Oreochromis niloticus: one gene and its partner. The protein of the gene in region 1 interacts with the protein of each later gene in a pairwise test. Links are inferred from orthologs where the notes say so. Each region holds a gene or a part of one and is shown on either strand. Other genes may lie near its edges.

Evidence for each region. The genes of interacting proteins can lie anywhere in the genome.
Region 2: the proteins of bag6 (region 1) and tac1 interact in a two-hybrid assay, tested with the Homo sapiens proteins (2 studies listed by BioGRID and IntAct). The link is inferred for Oreochromis niloticus from reciprocal best matches to the Homo sapiens genes BAG6 and TAC1.

Annotation. Positions count from the first base shown.
Region 1 is NC_031976.2:36,171,967-36,179,495, reverse strand, and holds the start of bag6 (large proline-rich protein BAG6), read left to right. Parts: upstream 1-4,523; 5' UTR 4,524-4,656; intron 4,657-7,161; 5' UTR 7,162-7,168; coding exon 7,169-7,249; intron 7,250-7,344; coding exon 7,345-7,462; intron 7,463-7,529. Other genes in the region: apom (apolipoprotein M), read right to left, coding at 202-315; glrx3 (glutaredoxin 3), read right to left, coding at 3,497-4,474. UniProt on the Homo sapiens protein: ATP-independent molecular chaperone preventing the aggregation of misfolded and hydrophobic patches-containing proteins.
Region 2 is NC_031985.2:36,816,485-36,823,704, reverse strand, and holds the start of tac1 (protachykinin-1), read left to right. Parts: upstream 1-4,217; 5' UTR 4,218-4,601; coding exon 4,602-4,718; intron 4,719-5,450; coding exon 5,451-5,553; intron 5,554-5,635; coding exon 5,636-5,659; intron 5,660-7,220. UniProt on the Homo sapiens protein: Tachykinins are active peptides which excite neurons, evoke behavioral responses, are potent vasodilators and secretagogues, and contract (directly or indirectly) many smooth muscles.

The DNA of each region.
Region 1 (7,529 bases):
CGGTAAATCTCTCTGCAGTTGTAGTAAGTGTGAAATATCAATCCTTTACAGACAAGATGCTCTTAACCAGAACATTACGCAATAAGATCAACAGTAAATCCCGTCGTACTGAGGTTATCATAAAAAAGACCTCAGACCAGTGGGGAAGTGCCTTTGGTATTTTCATAAATCTAAACATGTATCTTTCATTTTTACTCTCACCTTCTGCCGATCGATCGTGTTCACAGACAGCATCTCAGGCTCCAAGCAGGGAACAATGGTCTGATACAACAAAGTGTACAAAGACAGAACAAGAGAGAAGACTTCTTTTAACATAGCTGCAGTCTAAGTCAACACTTTGTAGTAATCCTGATCAAAATGCCTGGAAACTCCCAGGACTGTCTCTGAATGTGTGCAATACTCCAACAGACCACTTTATCAGTGTGGGTTGAGGTAAATTATTAATCTGTACAGCAGCATTACCCCTGAACTTGAAAGGTAAATAATAGGTTGGAAATGCGATGTTTGCATCCATGAATGTAAAACTTCAGCATCAGGATAAAATACATTTATAGGAAACTGAAACATGCTTTCTCACAAGTAGCTTTACTCATCCAACATTTTGTGAAAGGAATAAACTCGCTAAAGACTCACCGTCACTGACTCATCATCATATGTAGGAGGTGTTTGTGGCTATTTCTAAACTGGAACCAACCAAATTTTCTCACGAACTTAACAAACAGCAACCCGAAGTTTTAACTTTATTTGTTTCTGTTCATCCTGCCCCGCGTCCCACACCTTCTGTCAACACACACACACTAGGAATCATTAACTTCCCGTTTTGTCTTCCCATACTAGGTTTGGGAGAATGAAATTACTGGACTATTAAGAATCACACATGGCTTTATCAATTAATCAGGTGTGCTTCTGATTTTAAAAAAATGTCAAGAAAACAATTTTATCAAAAAACAAAGAATATTTAGTTTAAGGCTATTAACAAAACAATAATCAATAAATAATAAAACTAAGCAAACATTCCCTGTAGATGACCAGTTTTACAGACTATGAATAATTGCCAAAATATTTTGAATAGCTAATTGAATAACTGACCTTTTCATGTCTCATGTATGAAAAAGCCTCTACTGTGAATTCTGCTTAGAGCCGTGTTCCACATCTGCTTCCACACGGTGGAGTTGTTACACCTGAATAACTTTCTCCACATGATTCACACTTCAAAGTAAATAAGGATACAGCTTTTTTTTCTACATCCTAAGTCACATCACATTAGTTCAATTCCAATCTGTTTTTTGCGTACAGTTACTCAATTACGCTCAAATTATGTTATTTCCTACAATAAAATGATGATAAACTATTTTGAATAGAGTATAAAATCAAGTCAGTTAAACTTCTGGGACATTTATCTGGTCAGTTTGGTGAATTTTTAATCAGGTTCAGCCGCTTTGGTGTTAATGAAATTAACAGCAGGTGCACTAGAGGGGCAACAATGAGACAGCCCCAAAACAGGAATGGTTTTACAGGTGGAGGACATTTCTCCCTCTGCATCTTTTCTGACTGTTTTTACACTAGTTTTGCTTTTGGCTAGGGTCACTATCACTACCAGTCGCACAAGGCAATGCGAGGATCCTACAGAGTTGTAAGTTAATAAGTACACTAATGCAGTGGGCTCTGGGTTCTTCCTGGAGCACAACAGTGCCCAGCCACTTGTTGCAAGAGTGTGTAGGCGGTTCCTGACTGATGAAGGAATTGATACCACTGACTGGGCCCCCACACTCATCTGACCTAAGTCAATAGAACACCTCTGGGACATTATTTGGTTCTATCTGACGCTGCCAGGTAAAGCTAATATTATGTGATTTACGATGTAGAAAAACAGATTTTTATTTATTTGTTTTCAAGTGTGCATCATCTGGAGAACGTTATTCAGGTGTAACAACTCCACCTTGTGGAAGTAGGTGTGGAACACAGCTCTAACTAAATTTCAAAATAACACACATGAACCTCCAACTGTCCAGGAGCTCAGTGATAACCTGTCGTTCCTAACACAGAATGTATGGATAACCGACCTGATTTCTTTCTAAATTGAGATTTGATGCAAGTTTAATTTTATAAGCAGTATATTTAGACATGCTTCAAAAAAGTTTTGACATCAAAATAAAAGAGTAAAAATATGGTGCAATGGTGAAAAAATAAACTGGGAAAAGGAGGGACGTTCACTGAAGCTGAGCGGTAAAAATAGGGAAGGCTTCCCCACATTGCCAATAGGTTAAAGTTCATGTACTTATAAAATGCCCCACATACTGAGTCATGTTTTTCTTGGGGATTAAATACATATTTCACTCAAAACTATTATGTAATGTGTTTTTTCTGGATTTTTGACTGATTATTCGGCCTCTTTCTATTAAAATGAAACTCTGAATTTTGGTCTCTAAGCTTTTGCATCTGAGGCTTATACTAGAAATGTTGCACAGTTAAGCTGTACTAAGAAGTGGAAAAATGTCCTTGAACCAATCAAAATCCTCCTGGATAAAAAGAAGGGCCATAAGGGATTAGTGTCAGAGGACAGTTTAAAGCCAGCACGCATGATGGTGTTGTTTCGCATCAGTGAAAAACCATACCATGTAGAAACCTATATCCATCCCTGAAACTGTGTTGTAAACAAAGGATTTCTGCAACAGTGGTAATTTTCTTCTACCACTCAGTAGAATCACACATATTTGGCCAGACTTTATTAGTTCTATTACCTCGCTGTTAAATCTTACGCTTCAACGTAGCTGCTTCATTGTTACAGGGTGGCTCGTCTCTTATTGTATTGTCTCCTCAACTGAATAAATAAAAAATCTACAACAGTTGTCTCCTCAGGTTCCTAATGCTTACAGGGTGAATAGAGTAAATGCTTACAGATTAAACAATAAAGGGAAAAAACACTTTAAGTTGTTTTAATTTTTAATTGTAATCTTACCGACAAACACACATAGCTTGTTACCAGAGTGATCCTTGCACAGAGCTAAAAACAGCTTTTCGGACTTTAAAGGTGGAGAATGTGCAGACAGGACGGTGTGAACAGTGAGCAGCTGGCCTGGGTAGGAAAATAAAAGTCTACATAACATACTGAAGTGTGAGGCTGTCAACACTGGAAGGAAAGCTATAATCCCAAGAAATGCAGATATTGTGAACTAACGTCATCATTTTTCCAAGAATCAGACAGCAAGAAGTATTTACTTAAATGTCATGTTAAACAAATCTTCAGATGTATTTTCAAGAATTTCTAGAAGCCCAGCTTTCCAGTAACAATCATTACCAGAAAGAAAAACAGATGTAAATTCTTACTGTTGACAGCAGTTTCATTTCTGACTGTAATTAGAGTGAATCTATCCCCCTGCTACAATACAATTAGTTACTAGAGAATATTTTGACCCTTCTGCAGGGTTACTGGAGCTAATCTGGGTATGTGCAGCAGCTTCTTGTTCCCTCCCTCAGATAGCCAATGCAGATCCATCTACGACTCCCCTTTCAGGACTGATACCAGCTCTCCACTCTCCTTCAACTCCTTGACAATGTCCAAACCACCGATAAGCTCTCCTTTCACATAGAGCTGAGGGTAGGTTGGCCAGTTAGAGTAAGTCTTGAGCCCCTGCCGCACTTCTTCATCCTGCAGGATATCAAAGGTGTCATAATCCACCCCGGTACCGTTCAAGAGCTCCAGTATCTGCCTGCTGAAGCCACATCTGGCAGCCTCTTTGTTGCCCTTCATGAACAGCATGACTGGACTCTGATTGATGATGGTCTTCAGTCGGTGCTCTAAGGTGACAGCCTTCGGGCAGGTGTTCTCCAGCTCTCCGGACTCAGCCAGTTCCTTCACTATGTCCAGTCCTCCCACCAGCTCCCCGTTCACATACAGCTGGGGGTAGGTGGGCCAGTTGGAGTACGTCTTCAGCCCCTGTCGGACCTCCTCATCGGACAGGATATCGAAGCTGCTGAACTGGATGTTGTGCTCTTTCAGCAGCGCAACTATCTGTCGGCTGAATCCGCAGCGGGGCTCCTGGGGTGACCCCTTCATGAAGAGCATGCAGGGGGCGGCGTTGATTAGCTTCTTCAGCCGCTGGTTCAGATCTGCGCCGCTGCCCTCAGCGGCTCCACCGGGTCCCTCGCTCACCGCGAGGCGCTGCACCTTCTTAGTCAGTTCCGGAGCGTGAGCCCCGTCCAGGCGGTCCACTTTCTCTCCGCTCTTGAAGAAAAGGAAAGTGGGGACGGAGGAAATTTCATACTTCTCCGACACCTCCGGGACCGCTTCCGCCTCTAGCTTCACGAACGTAGTGTGCGCATGTTCTTTGGCCAGTTCGGCCATCACCTCGTTCATTTGGCCACACTGAGGAGCCCACGCCGCTTGGAAATGCACCACGGTAAGGCATTTTCCAGCTTTGGCTAAGAAATCTTCAAACTGCTGTTGAGTAGTCGCCTCCACGAGATTCGCCATTTTTCTTTCCTTTCACCCTCTGCACGCGCAGTGGTTCCGGTGCCGCCTAGACGTCATATCCGCGTAGCCTGGCAGTTTCTGGCAAGTACCAGAGCAGCTACAGGGAAGTCGTTTGCATGCTAGCTGATGATAAGAAAACAGCTGCATACACTGGATAAGTCGAGAGGATAGTAACTTCTAAGGTAACTGTTTAACGACACAGACTTAATTAAAACGAATTTCACTCTGTTTCGGATTGCTAAGCTAATTTTAACGTTCCGTTTTAGTAGCTTTAGCATTAGCTAGTTAGCTCAAAGTTAGCTTCGTTCGTGACGTCTGCCAGGTTTCCAAGTTAAGCAAAGCTAATTCATGCTAGCAAGCCTTTGGTGGTTAAGTAAGCTACTGTTACACGTAAATTCTGCTAAATAGAAATAGAGTCAAATACCACTGTTCTAAGAGTTAAATTAATAAAAAGAGTTTAAATAAAGATAGTGCACGTCGGTGTCTGGCCCAGCATGAAGCAGCCTCGGTTCCTCGGCTAACTACTCAACATTACGCTGTTACCGAGCACGCAAACTCCAAAACAACACGAGCAAGTGTTTCGCTGATCAGACTCAGCTGTGTCCTTCGGTTTTACATCGGTGGTTTGCACGAAAAAAACTGCTGCGTGTTTTTGTTGCTGGTTTTGAGGAACATTCAACTCTGTGAAGTTTTCTGCACCTGCGGACGGCACTATTTTCTTTATAAATCCATATGCTGCGTAGCTGTCAAGACAAGTAAGATGGTGGCGAAAAAATATTCTTTAGATAAACATTTCAAATGAAATGAAAGGGAAAACAATACACACCTTATCCTTGCCATGGTATAAGCATAATGCATCTTCTATTTATTTTTAAGGCTTTTCAAATCCGGTGATAATAACTAGTTTGTTACTACGCCTGAAAATTATAACATACTTATATGACATATGACACTGTGTTAAAGTTTAACAACAATTAACTCAAAATGCAGAAGTAGTGTCTAAAAAAACAAAACAAAAACAAAACTATGGGCTCCCAATAATTCAGTAGCCTGTAGAATCACCCTTAGCATCATTAAATTGAAGTAATGGTTTTCTGTAAGACATTATCAGTCTCTCACATCATCTTCTCCCACGTGTTACATTGTCTACTATTAGCATGATCTTGATCACAAAGCATGTGTGTTCTGTGTAAATGTGTCCTTTGAAAAACTAAGTACACACATGATTCAGTAGCTTATTGAAACACCTTAACCAGCATCAGCTTGAAGTAATCTTTATCTGTATGATATTATCAGTCTCACTCTTCTTTATACATGGTTTATGCTTCAGTTCATTGAGGTTGGCGGGCATTCATTTATACAAAGCTCTCCTGTCACAGCATTACATCAGATTGCAGTATGAACTTTAGATTTTGTTTTGATTTGCTCATTACAACACCTTGACTCTTTCGGGGGTTTTTTTAGCTGTTCTGTTGTACACAAGGGTTAGTTATTGAAAAGATGCCCTCATATTTCAATTCAATTTTATTTATATAGCGCCAAATCACAACAACAGTCGCCTCAAGGCGCTTTATATTTGTCTTTAGAATACTTTAACATACAGAGAAATTTATGATCCACTCACTGACTGCAGGTGCCCACATCCTAGACTCCAAAACAAGCCCAAAACATCACCCCTCCACCACTTGCTTGACAGTTGGTATGAGACGTTTATGCTGATATGCTGTGTTTGGTTTAAACCACTGGCACTTTGTATTATGGCCAATTATCTCCACAATTGTCTTGTCCGTCCAAAAAACACTGTTCCAAAAGTTTTGTAGTTTGTTTAGATGCAAGTTTGCAAATCTAATTGTGTTCATTTTAAAGAGAAAGATGGCTGTGGCAGCCCTTTTGTCAACTTGTTCAGTCTTTTAATAAATGTACTATCATGAACTTTAACATTTAAAATGATAAGTGAGGAAATAGTATTTTGCCACATTAGTGCCACAACATCATGAGTGGTCCACCAATAAAGAGGAAGATAACTGAGAAAACATTAGTAGAGAAAAATTGCTGTAAATAAATAATAGTTAAATATTGTTAATTATTATTACAAGAGTATGCACATATTTTTGAAAATAAAAGTATTGTAGTTAACATTTTATGGTGGTTTTGTTGTTTTTTTTAATTTTGCTGTAGGTCCACACAGTGTTTTGTTTCCTATATGTTCTACATTTCTGAATATTTTTTTTTTAACCTATGAGTTACAACAACCACAATATTTTGAAGCTATTTTCATATATTCTTTTTACATTTTATAGACCGTGTGAGTAATTATTAACACATTAATTGAGAATAAACATTATCATTGGCCATAGCTGTAGGAGCAGTATCAGTTGGTAATTACTGGCCGGCACATCAGGTTTTTACGGACCCTTTGAGTCAGCAAGTATCAAATGACAAAAGATATGTTTGTGATAATTTAAGTGAGAGTCTTTGTTTTATACTGTAAATTGTCCTAATTAGTCCCAAATGTTCCATTTCACATCTCACAGAGATGTTTAAAATAGATGTTTATGTTAAGAAAGAAATATGAGAGGATTTCAAATTAGCAAAGTGTTTAAACTCTCACATAACAGTCATCATATTTACCCTAAGAATCCAGTTTCAGCTGAGCTATAAATGGAAAATACATCTTTCTGTTACAGGAACACAATGGAAGAACAAACTGCTGACATAGAGGTGACGGTGAAAACATTAGACTCCCAGAGCAGAACCTACACTGTTGGCGCTCAGGTAAGTACATGCATGGTGCAAACTCAGGAGGAAATTCTTATTCTTAGTTCATCTTTCCTGTGGTGTTACTCATGTCTGTTCAATCTTTGTTGTAGCTGACGGTGAAAGAGTTCAAGGAGCACATTGCCCCATCAGTGGGTATACCGGTGGATAAACAGAGGCTGATCTACCAGGGCAGAGTGCTGCAGGACGAAAGGACTCTGGCAGACTACAGTAAGTAAATAAAGAATGAAATGCAGAACTAGATTGTTACTTGTTGGTCTTTGTACTTCCTCCTGGA
Region 2 (7,220 bases), on another chromosome or scaffold:
CCGCACCTAGTCGTAAAAATCTAAACATTCACATTCTTTCTCTCACACGCCGCCTAAGTTATGACCTCGGCTCCTTGTTTTATCTCCTCCTGATGAGATGGGGCAGAAAACCTCTCTGGTATGTTCTGTTCTCTTCTAATCAGACAAATAAGGCCATGACTCTCTGAAAACGGTATTTCTTATAACTCAGCAGTATAATGCATCATAAAACAATATCATTCATTCACTATAAATCAGCAGTCTAATCTAATACAAATCAGTTTAATAAATCTAATAGTTATCACCTCTTCAGGAGAATAAAGCAAACTAAAACTACATAATAATTTCACAATCATTAATCAGGGGTATAACATGGCATAAGATAATATAATAATCTCACAGTGACCAGCAGGTAAGTGAGGTTCTTGCCAGGTTGGAGCAATGGAGATCTGTGAGAAACTAAAATACAAGGAGACACAAGGTAGGCAAAACAGGAACTTAAAATGTGTTGGCCAAAATCTCAACATGGGTTAGCAGACGAACTGGCAAAGACTAGTTGTAAGCACTGGTCTTAAATACTGCCAAATACTTCCATCTCTGGTCAAGACTACCAGCTCATATGACAGAACACTTCCCTCCTGCACCCGGCGATCATCATGGTCACAAGTGGCCTGTTCTCAATATTACATTTTGTGTATGATTCTGTTATTCTGAACATGCAGGGATCCACTCCTGAAAAAAAAGTTTATGATATTAATGTAAGGAACAAGGTTCTTATACTGAGCTACAAAAATGTGAACAACTAAAAATATAAAGTGTGAAACACTGGTGCATAAATTAAAAATTAGGATACATATCTACGTGACTCAGTCAGCTGCCTTCTCAATGTGTAATTTATGTAAATTATAAATTAATACCCATTCTGAACTTATAAAATCTTGCTTCTGACATATGTATACCAACATGCATTTCTTACATATGAAACCAAATTTTACAAATCAAACTAGAACATGCAATTAGAGAAATCGCATTGGGATTGTTGCTACTGGCAGATTCAGTCTGTAGCTTCACTAATGATGTGATGGCTCTGTGCCTCGTAAAGTGGCGGTGATTTTAAAATTGAGTTATGTTTGTGTTACCTAGCGATGAGAACTGTTAAGAATTTAGCGACTCTGTGTTGGAGGTATTTCCACTCTTTGTTGTGATCGATGTTGGGGTCATTACCCAAAAAAGTAACTATTGCACATATTACATTGAACACTTTTCTCAAAAATAATGCAGCACAATGCGTAATTACTCCCAGGATAAAGTAATTCCTTATATTACTCATTAAATTACTTTAATGTGATGCTGTAAAATTACCTAAAAGGCATTGTCTCATAATTTATCCCTGTACTCATGAGGACACACATATGAGCTTTCTCTTGGTATTACACAGGCCCACAGCACAAAGCAAAGATGAAAACTAGCATAAAGAGACTTAACAGTGATTGTTACAGTGATCACTACTTTAGAAACATGAACAGGAAGAAACAGAGGCTGCAGCCTGATTGATCATCTGTTTGTTTTATGTTGAAGTTCAGAGTGTGGCTGCTGGGCTGGGGTTGGCATTCACTCAGCTGTAATGCCACTCTTGATTATCTTAGTATACATGCTGTGTGTTGCAGGTGCTTTCCAAAGAGCTGAAGTTCAGCTACTCGGAGTGGTTGTAATAATTTCTGTCTTTCAAGGTTTGTATTCAAAATGCAGTCACCTCTTTGGTTTTGATTTTTAAATATCATCTGCTGGTCAACTTAATGACTACTGAACCAATGGGGTGTACCACAGTGAGAGGGAAATAGTTCAAGCAATAATAGCTTTAATTTCATAGTGAACTACAAATACATGATTTTTCAACTATAAATAAATGGCATTTTGATATATATGGAGCATATGCTCCATGCCAACTGTGCAGGAGTAAAAAAATATGTATATATAAAAAATAAATACAGGAATAAATAGCAAACAGAATAAATATATACACCATCAAGAGAAATATATCCAATCAAGAGTGATATACACACATTGGGTAGCAAAGTGCTTGGAAGCAGTGCAAAGGGAGTGATTGGGGCCACTTAGTGAGGAGCAGTCAGCACGGGGATCTGAAGGTGGTCCAGTTTGGTGGTGAGGATGTCTTCCTGTTCTTCGCTCAGTGCTTTGTGAAGAGCGGTGGTGATGGCATCCGCCATGGACCAATTTGCTCTGTAAGCAAACTGGTGGGGGGTCAAGGGAGGGGAGTGGCCAGTCTCAGATGTGCTGAGGCACTGCCGGCTCAAAACACTTCATGACTACAGACGTGAGGGCTATAGGTCTGTAGGCATTATGGCTGCCTATACCAGCCTTTTGGGGGATGGGAATGATAGTGGAGGCCTTCAGACAGGTGGGAATCGTTGCCTGAGTCAGGGAGAGGTTGAAAAGCCCGGTGAGGATCCCTGCCAGTTGGTCCGCGCAGGCTTTAGACACAGCCCCTGGGATGTTGTCGGGGACTGGCAGCTCTCCTGGGGTTTGCCACTCTCAGTTTCCCTCTGACCTCATGTTCTTGGAGGGAACATGTTGGAGGGAACAGACCATGTTTAATGACCCAGATGCTTGGAGGGGTTTGTTTCCTGAGGGGGATATATGCAGGCATAAAAAGCAGAATGAGGTGGTCAGATTGTCCCAGGTGGGGGAGGGGTGTCGCTTTGTAGACATGCTGGATGTTGCTGTATACGTGGTTCAGTGTCCTGCCCCCCCTGGTAGGATACATAACATGCTGGGGGAATTTGGGGAGTACAGATTTCAAAAATGCCTTATTAAAGTCTGCAGCAACAATTTGGACACCCTCTGTGTGCTGTCTCTGGTTTTTACTGATAAGAAGTTGAATGTGGTTGAGTGCTGAGCTAACATTAGCACTGGGGGGGATGTAAACAATGGCAACTATGGCTACCGTTAACTCCCGAGGTAGATAGAAGCTTCTGCACTGAATGGACCTGGTGTCTAAGTCCGGTGAGCAGTGACTTTCTATAATTTTGCTGTTATAGCACCAGTCCTGAACCACATAAGCACGCAGCCCAATTCAGACCTGATCCAGCTCTAACTATACGTTTTACCAAAAAGGAAAGTTTAAGCCTAATCTTAAAAGTAGAGGCAACAATACAAAGTGATCAGTGCATTGCAGGAGGACGCAGTGAAAAGGCATAAAAAACCCAAAGAGGTGCACAGTAGTTGGGTGCGCTGTGCTGCTGAATATGTCCGTACACGCTGCCATCTTGCTCATTTTTGCAACTTTTCAAGTGTAAGTCAATGGAATTTCAATACATTTTCCCAGTCAACTATAAATCCACCTAATTTCAATATAATTTCCCAGTCAGCCATAGACGAATGACTTTGAGAGGGGTCCCATGGAACAGTCCAGCTGATAATAGTTTTAATTTCCAGGTCAACTAGGAATCCATTACTTTTCAATGCCTTGGTTGTCGCCTGGTCAACTATAAACAGATCAATAATCATTCAGTTATAACATGAGAACTTTGAATCAATGTTATTCCAGTGTCATTACTGTTACACTGTCAGGTATCATCTGTATTTTAATATGGATTTTAGCATATTTTGGCCATAATGATGATTCAGATGAAAAATCAACATTAACTCAATCTCATCTTGCTATCTGGGAAAGATGAAAACCAGCCCAGAAAGACTTCAAACGATCACCACGGTGATTGTACTGTAGAAATGGAGGATGCAGTCTGTCTGTTCATTCATTTGTTACCTGTTGAAGTTCAGGGTCTGGCAGCTGGGCTTGGGTTGACAAACACTCAGCTTTTACATTACTCCCAGTTCTTGGCTAGCTTAGCGTTAGCATGCTGTCTGTGGAGACGCTTGCAAGTTCTTTTGCATAATGCAGATGCTTTTTGCACTACACTAACGCACTCTCCTCCTTTGGTGCAATAAAACTTCATGAATAAATGATAAATTAAATGTTAAATACAAATGTTCTTAAACTGAGCATTAGGTAGAAATATCCCTATAATACTGGCCTCCATCAAAAGTATTCAAACAATGAAAAAACGTTAAATCAAATGGCCCAGACATGTTGGAGCAACTTTTAAGTTTTGGGCGCTGTGACAACGAAAAGCGGACTTTTTACTGTGACTGAAAGCTGGATAACAGTACTTTATGACGTCACCATCATTCTTCATAATAGTGACGGTGAAGTCCGGTGACGCACAACAGGTTCTGATCACTGCGCTTAACAGGCTGCTTACCGAAACTTCACTCAAGTAATCATAGTACTGTTAAGGCGTTACTTAGCAACACTATTCACACCGGTATATAGGAGCGTACGGATCGGAGACCTTACGAAACAAACAGCTCTAGAAGCTGAGTGCGCAGACAGCGCTGGAGATAGTGCTGTGACACAGGCTACGCGCTATGGACTACTGTTGATTTGTGGAGGAAGAAACAGCGCACACTCCAGCTCCTTCTGGTGCTCACACACCTGTTTCATTCACCTCGCTTTATTTCTGCTGACTGATAACTGTTATCGTGATACATTGGGTATTAGAGTGCTTATTGTTGTAGAGTGAGAGAAAAGCTGCGAGATCATGAAGTCTCTGCTTGTAGCAGTTTTAATGGTTCTCATCGCCGCCGCCCAAGTTTCCGGCGAAGAAAATGACCCAAAAGAGGACACTGATTACTGGACGAGCACTAATCAAATCCAGGTATGTATTCAGAGTTATACTCTCTCCTTAATAATTCATAAATACTACTATTAAAGTAGCTCGTCTTTTAGTCTCCTTCAGTGGATGAAAGCAGAATAAATTTATATACCACCTAACAGGCATAAGGAAATTAGTTTGACTTAAGTTTTTTTTTTTCTTCCTTTTTGTGAGAACAAAGACATCCCCTTACAGACGTATGTTAAACCCCAGCGTCACACTTGTAGGGTTGCATATTTGTATTTTTAAAAAAATATTAAAATTATATGTATACACAAATTTACTGAAAAGGCGTATATAAAGGCTCATATATTAGCTTAATCACACTTTAGGAGCGACTGGATATATCGGCACTTTGTCACAACGGGCATCATCTCTCTGTGCGGGACATTAGTAGCGCAAAGATCCATATTGCCAGTCACACTAATGCATACTGCATGAATATAATCCTGAGATGGAAACAGAAAATCGCAAGAAAAGATCCAAATTCATTCTGCATTACTCGGTGTATTTTATGTGGGTGGACCGGTGGGTGGGACTGTCAGCTAATATTGATTAAGATAAGGTTCTGGCAGAATTCCGCTTTATTCTCTTGTTATAATGACGTGAGCAGGTAGATAAGGTATTAACACAGTTGAGGTATAGTTTGATGACACTAAATTTTTATAAAGATAAGATCCACTCTCACTCCACTCTGCTTCTCAGTGTAAGCATTCCTTCTCCCCCTCCACTCAGAATGGCTGGATTTCCGACGACCCGTTCAGAGAAGCCCTGCTGAGAATGACAAGAAAGCCAAAGCCACATCAGTTTATCGGTCTGATGGGGAGGCGCTCTATGGGTAAGAGCTAATTCTTAATAAAAGTACTTCTCCTATGCACCAGTTATTCTAACCTTTCATTTTTACTTTCATCCTCCCACAGCAAACACACAGATCACCCGCAAAAGTAAGTCCTGAAGTCATTATAGCTATAGCAATTTCCCTGCTCTTTAATTAAAACTCGGAACAAAAAGACCTAACCCCTTTGCCAATAGCTGGAGATGTGTGGCCAGTTACCTCGGACCTTTGACTGGCGCAAGCTGGTTTGTACACTGCTCATTTGTGCACAAATCAGCATGCACAAAGCAAAACTGAATTTTAACATAACAAAATAAAGCTCAGGTAAAAATAAAGCTAAATAAAAAAAATTTAAACGATTTTAAAACAAATCTAAATATCAGTATGTACAGTAGTGGAAATAGGCAAATATGAATATTATTCCCAAATAAAATTGATGAATAGCTACAACCATCTATTACAGTGATAAGTTAACAAGAATTAAATGATCACTTTCAGTTTACCACCATATCACTTATGTGAATTATAAGTAATTCTGTTACAGTATCACTTTTAATTTAATAGAGAATAAATTACTAGTGATAATGTAATAATGCTCCCATGTGGTAAAATGAGACTGCTCTGTGGTGACCAATCAGAGACGTATACATCAGGTGGGATGTATTAGTCATAATGATGAGGGATTTCTTCAGCATTCTCCTCTTAGACACCTCTACCCGAGTCTTCGAGTTTTACTCCCAGAATCAGTCTTCAAGATGAATTTATTCAGTCTGTTGACATTAGCAGCTTTCATCCTGCCGAACACTCCTGCATAGAACACCACACTTGCCACCACAGAGTGATGGCAAGTGATATAAACAGCAAGGCCTTACAAATGTTGAACGACCTGAGCCTTTTAGTTGATACAGGTCGCACAGATTCTGCTCTATATCTCATCCATGAAATAAACCCTTTTAAATGGATGGAAGGGCATTAAAAAAGCATTCAGGACATTAACCCATAAGAGCCCAGATACATTTTTACTGCCGGGAAAACTATGGGAGAGTCAGTGTTTAAACTTTAAAAGGAAAACTTTCCTCAGTGTGTGAAGGGACGAGGTTCTTTAGAATCAGACACACAAGCAAAGGCAAGTGTGCAAGGGTCAGATGGACTTGTGTGCTTTTCTCTAATAATGTGCATTTTGACTGAGATTAAAGGCAAAAAAAAAATACATTGAGTCAATAAATGTACTGAGACAGTGGGTGGAGAGGTGTACACAGCTGTGACAGCTCTACAGATATCAGCTCACTCCACAAAAGTGGAAGGTCTTTGTTCCACAAACAGAGCATGGAGCAGAAAAAGCGTAAATTCAACTTGCCCACAGTGTTTGTGTCTGTGGGCAAGAAATGCAGTATACAAAGATTTTTTTTCCCTAATGTTCTTTGAACTAATTAATTAGTGAGTAAAGAAGGTGGTCCAGGGGAGACGCCTGTGTGAGACAAAGAGGGAAAAGATAAAGAGCAATGAGGAGGAGGGGATTTTCTCTTTCCTCTGTCATGGTTTGCGTTTCATCTGAATTAGTCACCCACTCAGTGATGCACTCAGTGCAGCGCAAGTAAGCAAACAGCTAATTTATTCCTGTAATGCAGGACCCGCTGTAAAACAATCATAAGATAGGGAGCTGAGATACG